Cricetulus griseus: one gene and its partner. The protein of the gene in region 2 interacts with the protein of the main gene of each other region in a biochemical or structural test. Links are inferred from orthologs where the notes say so. Each region holds a gene or a part of one and is shown on either strand. Other genes may lie near its edges. The genes, in order: Slamf1 and Sh2d1b.

What was found.
Region 1: the proteins of Sh2d1b (region 2) and Slamf1 interact in a test that uses a peptide from one of them, tested with the Homo sapiens proteins (2 studies listed by BioGRID). The link is inferred for Cricetulus griseus from reciprocal best matches to the Homo sapiens genes SH2D1B and SLAMF1.

The regions. Positions count from the first base shown.
Region 1 is NC_048598.1:21,038,159-21,041,974, reverse strand, and holds part of Slamf1 (signaling lymphocytic activation molecule), read left to right. Parts: intron 1-1,821; coding exon 1,822-2,157; intron 2,158-3,816.
Region 2 is NC_048598.1:22,566,520-22,570,989, forward strand, and holds the start of Sh2d1b (SH2 domain-containing protein 1B), read right to left. Parts: upstream 3,045-4,470; 5' UTR 2,853-3,044; coding exon 2,719-2,852; intron 1-2,718. UniProt on the Homo sapiens protein: Cytoplasmic adapter regulating receptors of the signaling lymphocytic activation molecule (SLAM) family such as CD84, SLAMF1, LY9 and CD244. In SLAM signaling seems to cooperate with SH2D1A/SAP.

The DNA of each region.
Region 1 (3,816 bases), about 1.5 Mb from region 2:
TAAAGAATTTCTCTTTCCGTGGTACAAATACTGGGGGGTTAGCTGGAAGACAGTGGTAGCAGCTAGGCCTGTGGTGTTGGGGTAGCAGGCATGGCATGGGAAGTGCGTCTGTGTCAGACCTAGGTGGAAATTAGAGCCAGCAGGGCTTTCTATCAGGATCAAATGCGGAGTGTAACGACAGACTGAGGGATGCTCCAATGTTCTGGCCTGAGAAACTGGACGAATATTCACGTTTGAACAGAAAGCTCTTTGCTAAAGTCAGCTGCCGTTTAAACCTCCACATGCATATCTTTGCAGGCAGTAGAGGACGAGGCAGGGAAAGGAATAGCCATAAGATACAACTGTAAATACTGCAGAGATATGTCAAACTGTGCAGCTAAATGAGAAACTGAATAGGTGAAAATAAGGAAGAGAAGGAAGCCTGAGCCGAGGCATAGTCTGATATTCAGATTATCTGAAGAAAACAAAAGTTTCCCCCAAGGAAACTAAGAATGATAAAAAGAACAAAATAGCAAGTCAGGGAAGTGTAGTATCTCAGGGACCAAATGCAGAGTGTTTAAAGGAGGGATGATGAGCTACGTCTATCGGGTGTTCCTTGAGAAACACTCAAGATAATGATGGAGAATTAACTGACTTGGCTCTGTGTAACAGAGAGATATGGACAAGTGTGATGCAATGAGAATTTGGGGCAGAATACTTCTTTGGAATGGGCACAGGGGAAACTGGGTCAGGAAGTAAAAGCAGAAAACATAAACAGACATGCAAGAACCTTCCAGAAAGAAGATGAAAATGGCCAAGTGGCTGAGGACGGACCTGGGATCAGAGGAGAGATTTGTTTTGTTTTTTGTTTTTGCTTTGTTTTTAAGACAGGGGCAATTAAGTGTTTGTATGTATGGGCTGGTGAAAGAAATCCAGAAGACAATGAGAACACAGGGGATGGCTTAAAGAGGAAACCTGAAAGCCTGTGAGTGTTCCTTGAGGGGAGAGGCTAGCCTTGGGAGAGAGCACAGCCCATTCCTCCAGGTAGACAGATCGACTGGGATTTCCATAGATTGAATCTTACTTTTTTATTTCTTCTGTATTTTTTCAGTGAAACAAAAAGGGCAGTCACCCCCTGCAAGAGGAGGCAGAAAGGCGGCTTATGGGTTTGAGCCAAGAGGAGGTATTAAATAGTCAGCGCTAGAACCCCTTAGAGTGGTTTGAAAGGTTTTTGGGGTTTTGTGGGTTTTTTAACACCCTCCCCCCCACCTTGTTCTTGTTGGTTCAGCTTTTTTTTTGAAAAGGAAAATAAAATAATATCTTAACCTTACCATTATTAATTATCTTGGATATTTTTGAAGAACTGGGATTCCAGTTTGGACATGAAGGGCACCACCTCCCTAATTTCCACAGTCCTCCTACCCTTCTTTGCTTCCTGTCACCTGGCTTAGTGCTTTGGGAACTACGATGCCCTGGGCTCCTTTTTACTGTTATCCACTCTTTACCAAGCATGCTGAGTGTTGGCAAGAACCTTGGCAGAGAAATTATAGACTGAGACTCTAGTCCTGGCTCTGCCCCTTACTAACGTGACTTTAAGGAAGTCATTTACTTCTGCCTTCTGTTCAGCCTGAGTTGACAGAACCCTGGCGAAGTAATTGTAGGATTTCCATTGGATGCTTTGAAACACTGAAGTTATGCTTAGGATCCTGGTGGTAGTCCTTGTAGACTACAAGGTGGTAATTTGAGATTGTTCAAAAGAAGAGGTGAGCCTCAAGCCTGTCATTCTCTGTCTGTTCTCCAGTTCTTGCATCATAAGGAATTATCTTCCCTTTCTTCCCACAGGTAGAGGTGTGATGGACTGCTCGGTGATTATCCAGCCACTGGGAAGTGACACGTGGCTGTCCCTGACAAATCAGATAAATAAGAGTGCTAACAAAAGTGTTCGAATCCTTGTCACAATGGCAACGTCTCGAGGAAGCAAAACCAACAAGAAAATAGTGTCATTTGACCTCACTAAAGGGGGCTATCCTGATCACCTGGAGGACGGCTACCAGTTCCAACCAGAAAACCTGAGCCTGGGGATCCTGGCAAACAGGAGGGAGAATGAAGGATGGTACTTTGTGAGCTTGGAGGAGAATGTGTCCGTTCAGCAATTCTGCATGCAACTGAAACTTTATGGTAAAAATGGGAGTTTTCACACTTCTTTCACACAGGAGGCCTAGAAGACTTAGGCCTTTCTCAGAAGCAGAGTATCTGCAATTGGAAGCAACTCAAAAGATCTGGTCCAGAGAGTATTTAAGCTTAAGGGAAAAACTTTGACAGGCTGACATTAGTTGGTTAGTTATATTCCAAACTGCCCATCGGTGGAGGCTGAATTGATTCCTGCTTTGAAAGGAAGGAAGCCCACTGTGTGGGCCTGAAGGGCTGGCTTTCATCTCTAACGGGCTTAGTCTGCATATCAATTTTTTAATAAAAGCTTTTTGTTCCCTATCAAGCCCAAAAGTACGAAGTTTGAATCCAACTGAACAAGCCTATCCTCTCTGTCATTGCCAGGGTCCCCGACTCCAGGGGCAAGTAGTTTTGCACGTGCTTACCCACATTTGTGTAGGCTGTTTGCTGAAGCAGAGGTTCTGAGTAAAGAAAGCTGACATTCCACCCACAGGCAGCTCACCAAGCTCAGAGCCCTGGGGGAGGCTTCCACCTACATGGTGAAAGAAACACCTTTTTTTCCCCCTCATTTGAACCAGGATCTGGTTATGTAGTTGTTTAGTTGAGGGACTGTAGAACCTACATCTTCCTGACTCCAGTGCTCTCTGAGTCCCTCTAACCTCTGCTCCTGTCCTTGAAGACACCTTGCATTCCTATCTCCTAGGCCCAGAGCCTCATCTGCTTTCCAAGGCTTGCTGGCATCTCTGTGGGGCTTCCCTGATCTTTCAAAGGGATCTCTTACACCACCAAGGATGGGATGGGAAGTCCACAGCTAGCATTTCGTTGAAACATTCAGTTATCTAGGAGAGAAACAGAAACATCTTGACTCCCTCCTGCCCCAGTGTTTCCCTCCTGCAAATAGAGAATGCAGAATACCCATAGTTCTCTGCTGAGTGTGCATGGAGGCCACACAGCATGTGTAAGGCATGTCATATGATCTGTCCCTTTGTTCTTATAAGTTTTCTGACTTTGTCAAACCTTATATAATAAGTTGGGTACTTTGGGAGCTGTGTTCTCTGCAGCCATGACTTTCATTAGCGAGAGGGGGAAGGGGAGGGCTGATTTCAGAATCTGATGAAGGTACTTATTTCAGCCTGGCCACTTAGAAGCTGTATAATGTCAAACAAGACATGCCATTTCTCTGAGACTCAGTTTTCTCATCCACAAAATGGGAATAATTATTTTTAGTTATACCTATTGAGAGAATTAAAGAAGATGAATATGAAATGCCAGCAATGTGCTGGTCCTATAGTAGCTGTAATAAGCACAACCTCCCTTTTTACCTTGCCTATCTCATGGCTTTAGAACTGTATGGATTGATAGGGCCTGTGGCTGTGATTGAAAACCTACCACTGCCTTAGACCCACAAAGCCCTTGCTACACACACATACATACATACACACACCACACACACACATACCCCTATACCATACACACACCACATACACTCACATATACACACCATATACACAAACACACCACACAACACCTCACACACACCACATACACACATTGAATACACACACACACACACACACACACACACACACACACACACACACCACTTAGGCTCAATGAAATCCAACCACTAAAAACTCATGCTTTTAGCTCTAAGAGGCTGTACTTTAA
Region 2 (4,470 bases):
CCTTCCCTAACCTTTGATTCTGACTTGTTTTTGAGAATACCCTTACCCTCTGTGACCCTCCCTGAACCTTCCCTGAACTGTCCCTGAACCTTTCCTAATCATGGTGACCACATGATGTTTTGTTTTGTTTTGTTTTTGAGATTTCTTTTTGTATTTCCTCATTGGCCCATTGTCTCTCCTCTGTAAATCTATTCATGATTTTACTCCTTAAAAGGAGCCCAAGAAATGGATTCAGGGCTGATCTCTATAATCTGACTTAGGAGGCAGTTTCTAGTCAACTCTTGAGTGCACCCCAATTTTAAAAATCAAGCTTGCTTTAAATTTGGCTCCAATTGTGGTAGTGGTCTTATTCTCCACGTTGGGGTTAGCACTTTCTGCTTATCAGTTTGAAGTTCCAAATCCCAGCACTTGCTGCTCATCTCCTCAGTATGGCCCCAGTTCTGGTGAAGGCCCACTTGTCTGTATCACATAGCGGCAAATGACATCATCAGAGGGAGAGATCACGGGAAACCAGAACAGGGGTCAGGGGAAGGGCCAGTCTTATTTTTATAACTGCCCACTTAGGAAGAACTAACCCAGCGTCCCCCAAGATCCTTCCAAGGGCAATAGTTCCAATACCTATTGTCTCCCCTTGTTTCGTGTTTCGTGTCTTAACATCACTACATGGAGACCATGCCTCTGACATGTGGAACCACAGATGGACACACATAAGCAAACAAACAGAGGGGGAGAGGAAACTAGGAGAATGAGAAGGGGAGAAGATGAGGGATGCAGAGGACATGAGGGAGCAGAAAGGCGGAGTCAGGGGAAGAATAGATGATAACAAGAATGGAGATACCATCATAGAGGGAGACATTTTAGGTTTACAGAGAAATCAGGTGCTAGGGAAATGTCTGGAGATCTACTAGGATGACACCAGCTAACAATCTAAGCAACAGAGGAGAGGCTACCTTAAATGCTCTCCCCTGATAATGAGATTGATGGCTGACTTATATGCCACCTGATAGCCCTCATCCAGCAGCTGGTGGAAGTAGAAGCAGACACCCACAACTAATCACTGAATTGAACTGGAATGCAGATGCAGAGAAGGACGAGTGAAGAGCAAAGGGGTCCAGACCAGGCTGGTGAAACCCACAGAAACAGCTGACCTGAGCATCAGGGAACTCTTGCTCCCCAGACTGATAGCTGGGATACCAGCATGGGACTGAACTAGACCCCAGGAACATGCATTTCAGTGAGGAAAACTTGGAAATCTACAGGACCTCCTGTAGTAGTTGAGTACTTATCCCTAGCATAGGTGTGGACTTTAGGAGCCCATTCCACATAGAGGGATACTCCCTGAGCCAAGACACACGGGGGTGGGCCTAGGCCCTATCCCAAAGGATACAATAGACTCTGATGACCCCTATGGAACGCATCACCACCCAGGGGGAGCAGAAAGGATATGTGATAGGTAGGGTTTTAGTTGGGGGGAGGGGTAAGGAAGGACAGGAGGGAGAAGGGAACAATCCTGTTTCTAATTCAAATAAAAAAAAATCTGGGGGAGAAAAAACAAAAACAAACGAACAAACAAACAAACAAAAAACCCAAAAACCTGAGCATCACTTTCAGCTTAAGAAGCAAAGATGGACTTAATGCTATCTTTCTCACACCCATTTCTCCAGGCACCATTTAAGAAACAAAGGGCCTGTGTAACAATTAATAATGACAATCACTTTTGCCTTCTTAACTTTCTCCAAAGCTCTAAGAAGCACAAGATCTCTCCCCTTACAGTGACAACATTTCTTTGTTTGCCGGGACTTCAGTCAAGCTCCTAAACCTTCTAGGCCCACCTGTGCATTTCCTTACAAAATTCAGCTTTCTCATAGTCTCCTGCTCCGATACTATCTGAGCACCCTCAGTATCTCATCAGCATCTTCCATCTGCCACCAGCCCCCAGATGACATCTAAGCACAGTGGCCTTTACTCAGCTAAAATCCCGGGGTCCTTTTAGCTAGTGTTTCCTTCTCTCTGAAGTTTCCTCATAGTACTTTTTCTGTGTACTGCCCCCATCCTGCTCCTTGCTATGAATTCCTACTTGCTCACACTTGATTCAGAGTTAAGCCCACTGTCTGTCCCCAAACGAAGTCCCCACTACATCCATCACTACACCTGTCAAAAAGGCTTGCAATGAAGTCTTCCTCGATGTCTTCTGGAACAGGCATGAAAAAGGATTCAGTGTTTCTCTATTTCTTCATCTATAAAATGACAACAGCATCTACTTTCCTCAAAAGGCCTCCGAAAGGATAAAAAGAAACAAAGACATGCTGCTTGCAAAGTCTTTGACCAACCTGATGAGCCATGACATATTAGCACTTTAAATATTTCTCGTGAATGCAACCAAAGAGCCTTTCAGTCAGAAATATTATAAAGGGCCCCTAGCCTTCTCCACAGCAAATAAAGAGACATGGAGAGAAGATTGCATTCTTACAGTTCTTCCTTCTCCCCATCACTCTCTCATTTTCCATCCCCTCCATCCCCACTTGTGCTGTCTCGGGGTCTGCTCATGTGACAGCCACTAATGGGAGGGAAAGGCAGGCAGAAGAGCTGGGCAGACACATCCTTCTATCCTCTCCTGGCCCATGTCTGTCTCCTTAGCATTGCAAAGAAGAATGAGACACAGCTCCCTGAGAAGATGGCTGCCATTGGGGTTCAACTCATGAAGGCAAGGCTACTCACGAGACGCAGAGGCACAGGACTCCTGGCATAGACTCGCTGTCTCTTATCAGATAGTTGCCATCCACCCCTCCCTTGAGGAGCAGGGTTTCACATTCTTTCTTGGTCATCTGGCCATGGTAGTAAGGCAGATCCATGGAGAGCTAAGTTATGCTTTAACTGCCCTGGCCACCTGAGATCAGTTCCAGGCCAAGCCGTGGCTCTGGAGAGGGAAGTGGAGAGAGCAGAAGAAGGGAAGTGTCCCTTCTTCAAGTGTTGTCCAAACAAGATGAGATTGCTCTGTGGGTTCAGTCAGCTTTGCACAACTCAGGAAATGAGAAGGGAGGGGTGATGAAGTGACCAAGACTTTTCAGCCTAGGGGTGGGCGGCTCAAACATGACTCACAGAAGTCGGGGAGTGCCTTCCAGCTCAGCCAATGGTGTTTGCGGCTGCAGCAGCAACACTGCAGCCAAACTCCCTGGGTCCAGGTTATATACAGCCTGTCTCCCAGCGGTTTTCATCCCTTCTGGCTATCAGTGTGCTCTCTAAGGAACATAATACAGACCCCGCTCTACTGGATGCCCATAATCTTCTTGGGCTTTCTCTGTCTGTGTTCTGCGTTAATCGTCATCTGTTTAACGTAAGCTTCTCTAATGAAGGTTGATAAATGCGCTGATCTGTGGATACAATAAGTCATTCAGTGTTCGTTTAATACCATGTCCATTTCACAAAGTCTTAGTAGCAGGTTGTTCCCTAGGTACAAGGAACTCTCTAGCCACAGTTTTTATGATTGTTTGTTTGTTTGGTTGGTTGGTTGGGTTTTGGTGTTTTGTTTGTTTGTTTGTTTGGTTGGTTGGTTGGTTGGTTTTGGAGGATTTTTTGTTTGGTTGTTTGGTTTTGTTTTTTTTTTGAGGCTGGGTTTCTCTGTAGCTTTGGAGCCTGTCCTGGAACTCACTCTGTAGACCAGGCTGGCCTCAAACTCACAGAGATCTGCCTGCCTCTGCCTCCCAAGTGCTGGGATTAAAGGTGTGTGCCACCATTTAGAGACATAGCCATAGGTTCTTGACCTCAATAACAGCATTAAACACAAATTTCTGTTGGGGGCATCCATCAGAGAAGACTGCTTGGATACAGGTTTCAACCAATAGAAAGTCTTTATTAGCTGGCCAGTGGCTATACATGGTGTTCAGAATCCCAGTGTAGTCCTAGCCTTTCTTGGGGGTGTACTTTTAAGCACAAAACCACATCCTGGCTTAACACACCTCAGCAAGAAGAGTTAGTGGAAGCTAGGTGTCATGGCACACTCTATTAATCCCAGCACTCAGGAGGCAGGTGGATCTCCATGAGTTCAAGACCAACTGATCTACAAACTGAGTTCCAGGATAGCCAGAGCTGTTACATGAAGCAAGACTACAGAAACGAAAAAGCAAGCTTAGTACCTTAGAGACTTTCCAATATCTGTGGACTTCGATGGATTAGGTCATTTTGGGTACAGTGGTCCTCAACCTATGGATTGTAACCCCCATGGGGGTCGAATATTAGATATCCTGCATATTAGATATTTACATTATGATTCATAAAAGTAGCAAAATGACAGTTATGAAGTACCATCAAAATTATTTTATGGTTGTGGGTCACCACAGCGTGAGGAATATATTAAAGAATCACAGCATTAGGAAGGTTGAGAACCACTGTTCTATAACAGTGTCTATATGCTGAGTATTATGGCCTAAATGGTGCTTTCATCATGAGGTCAGTTGTGCTAAGGGCTGGTGG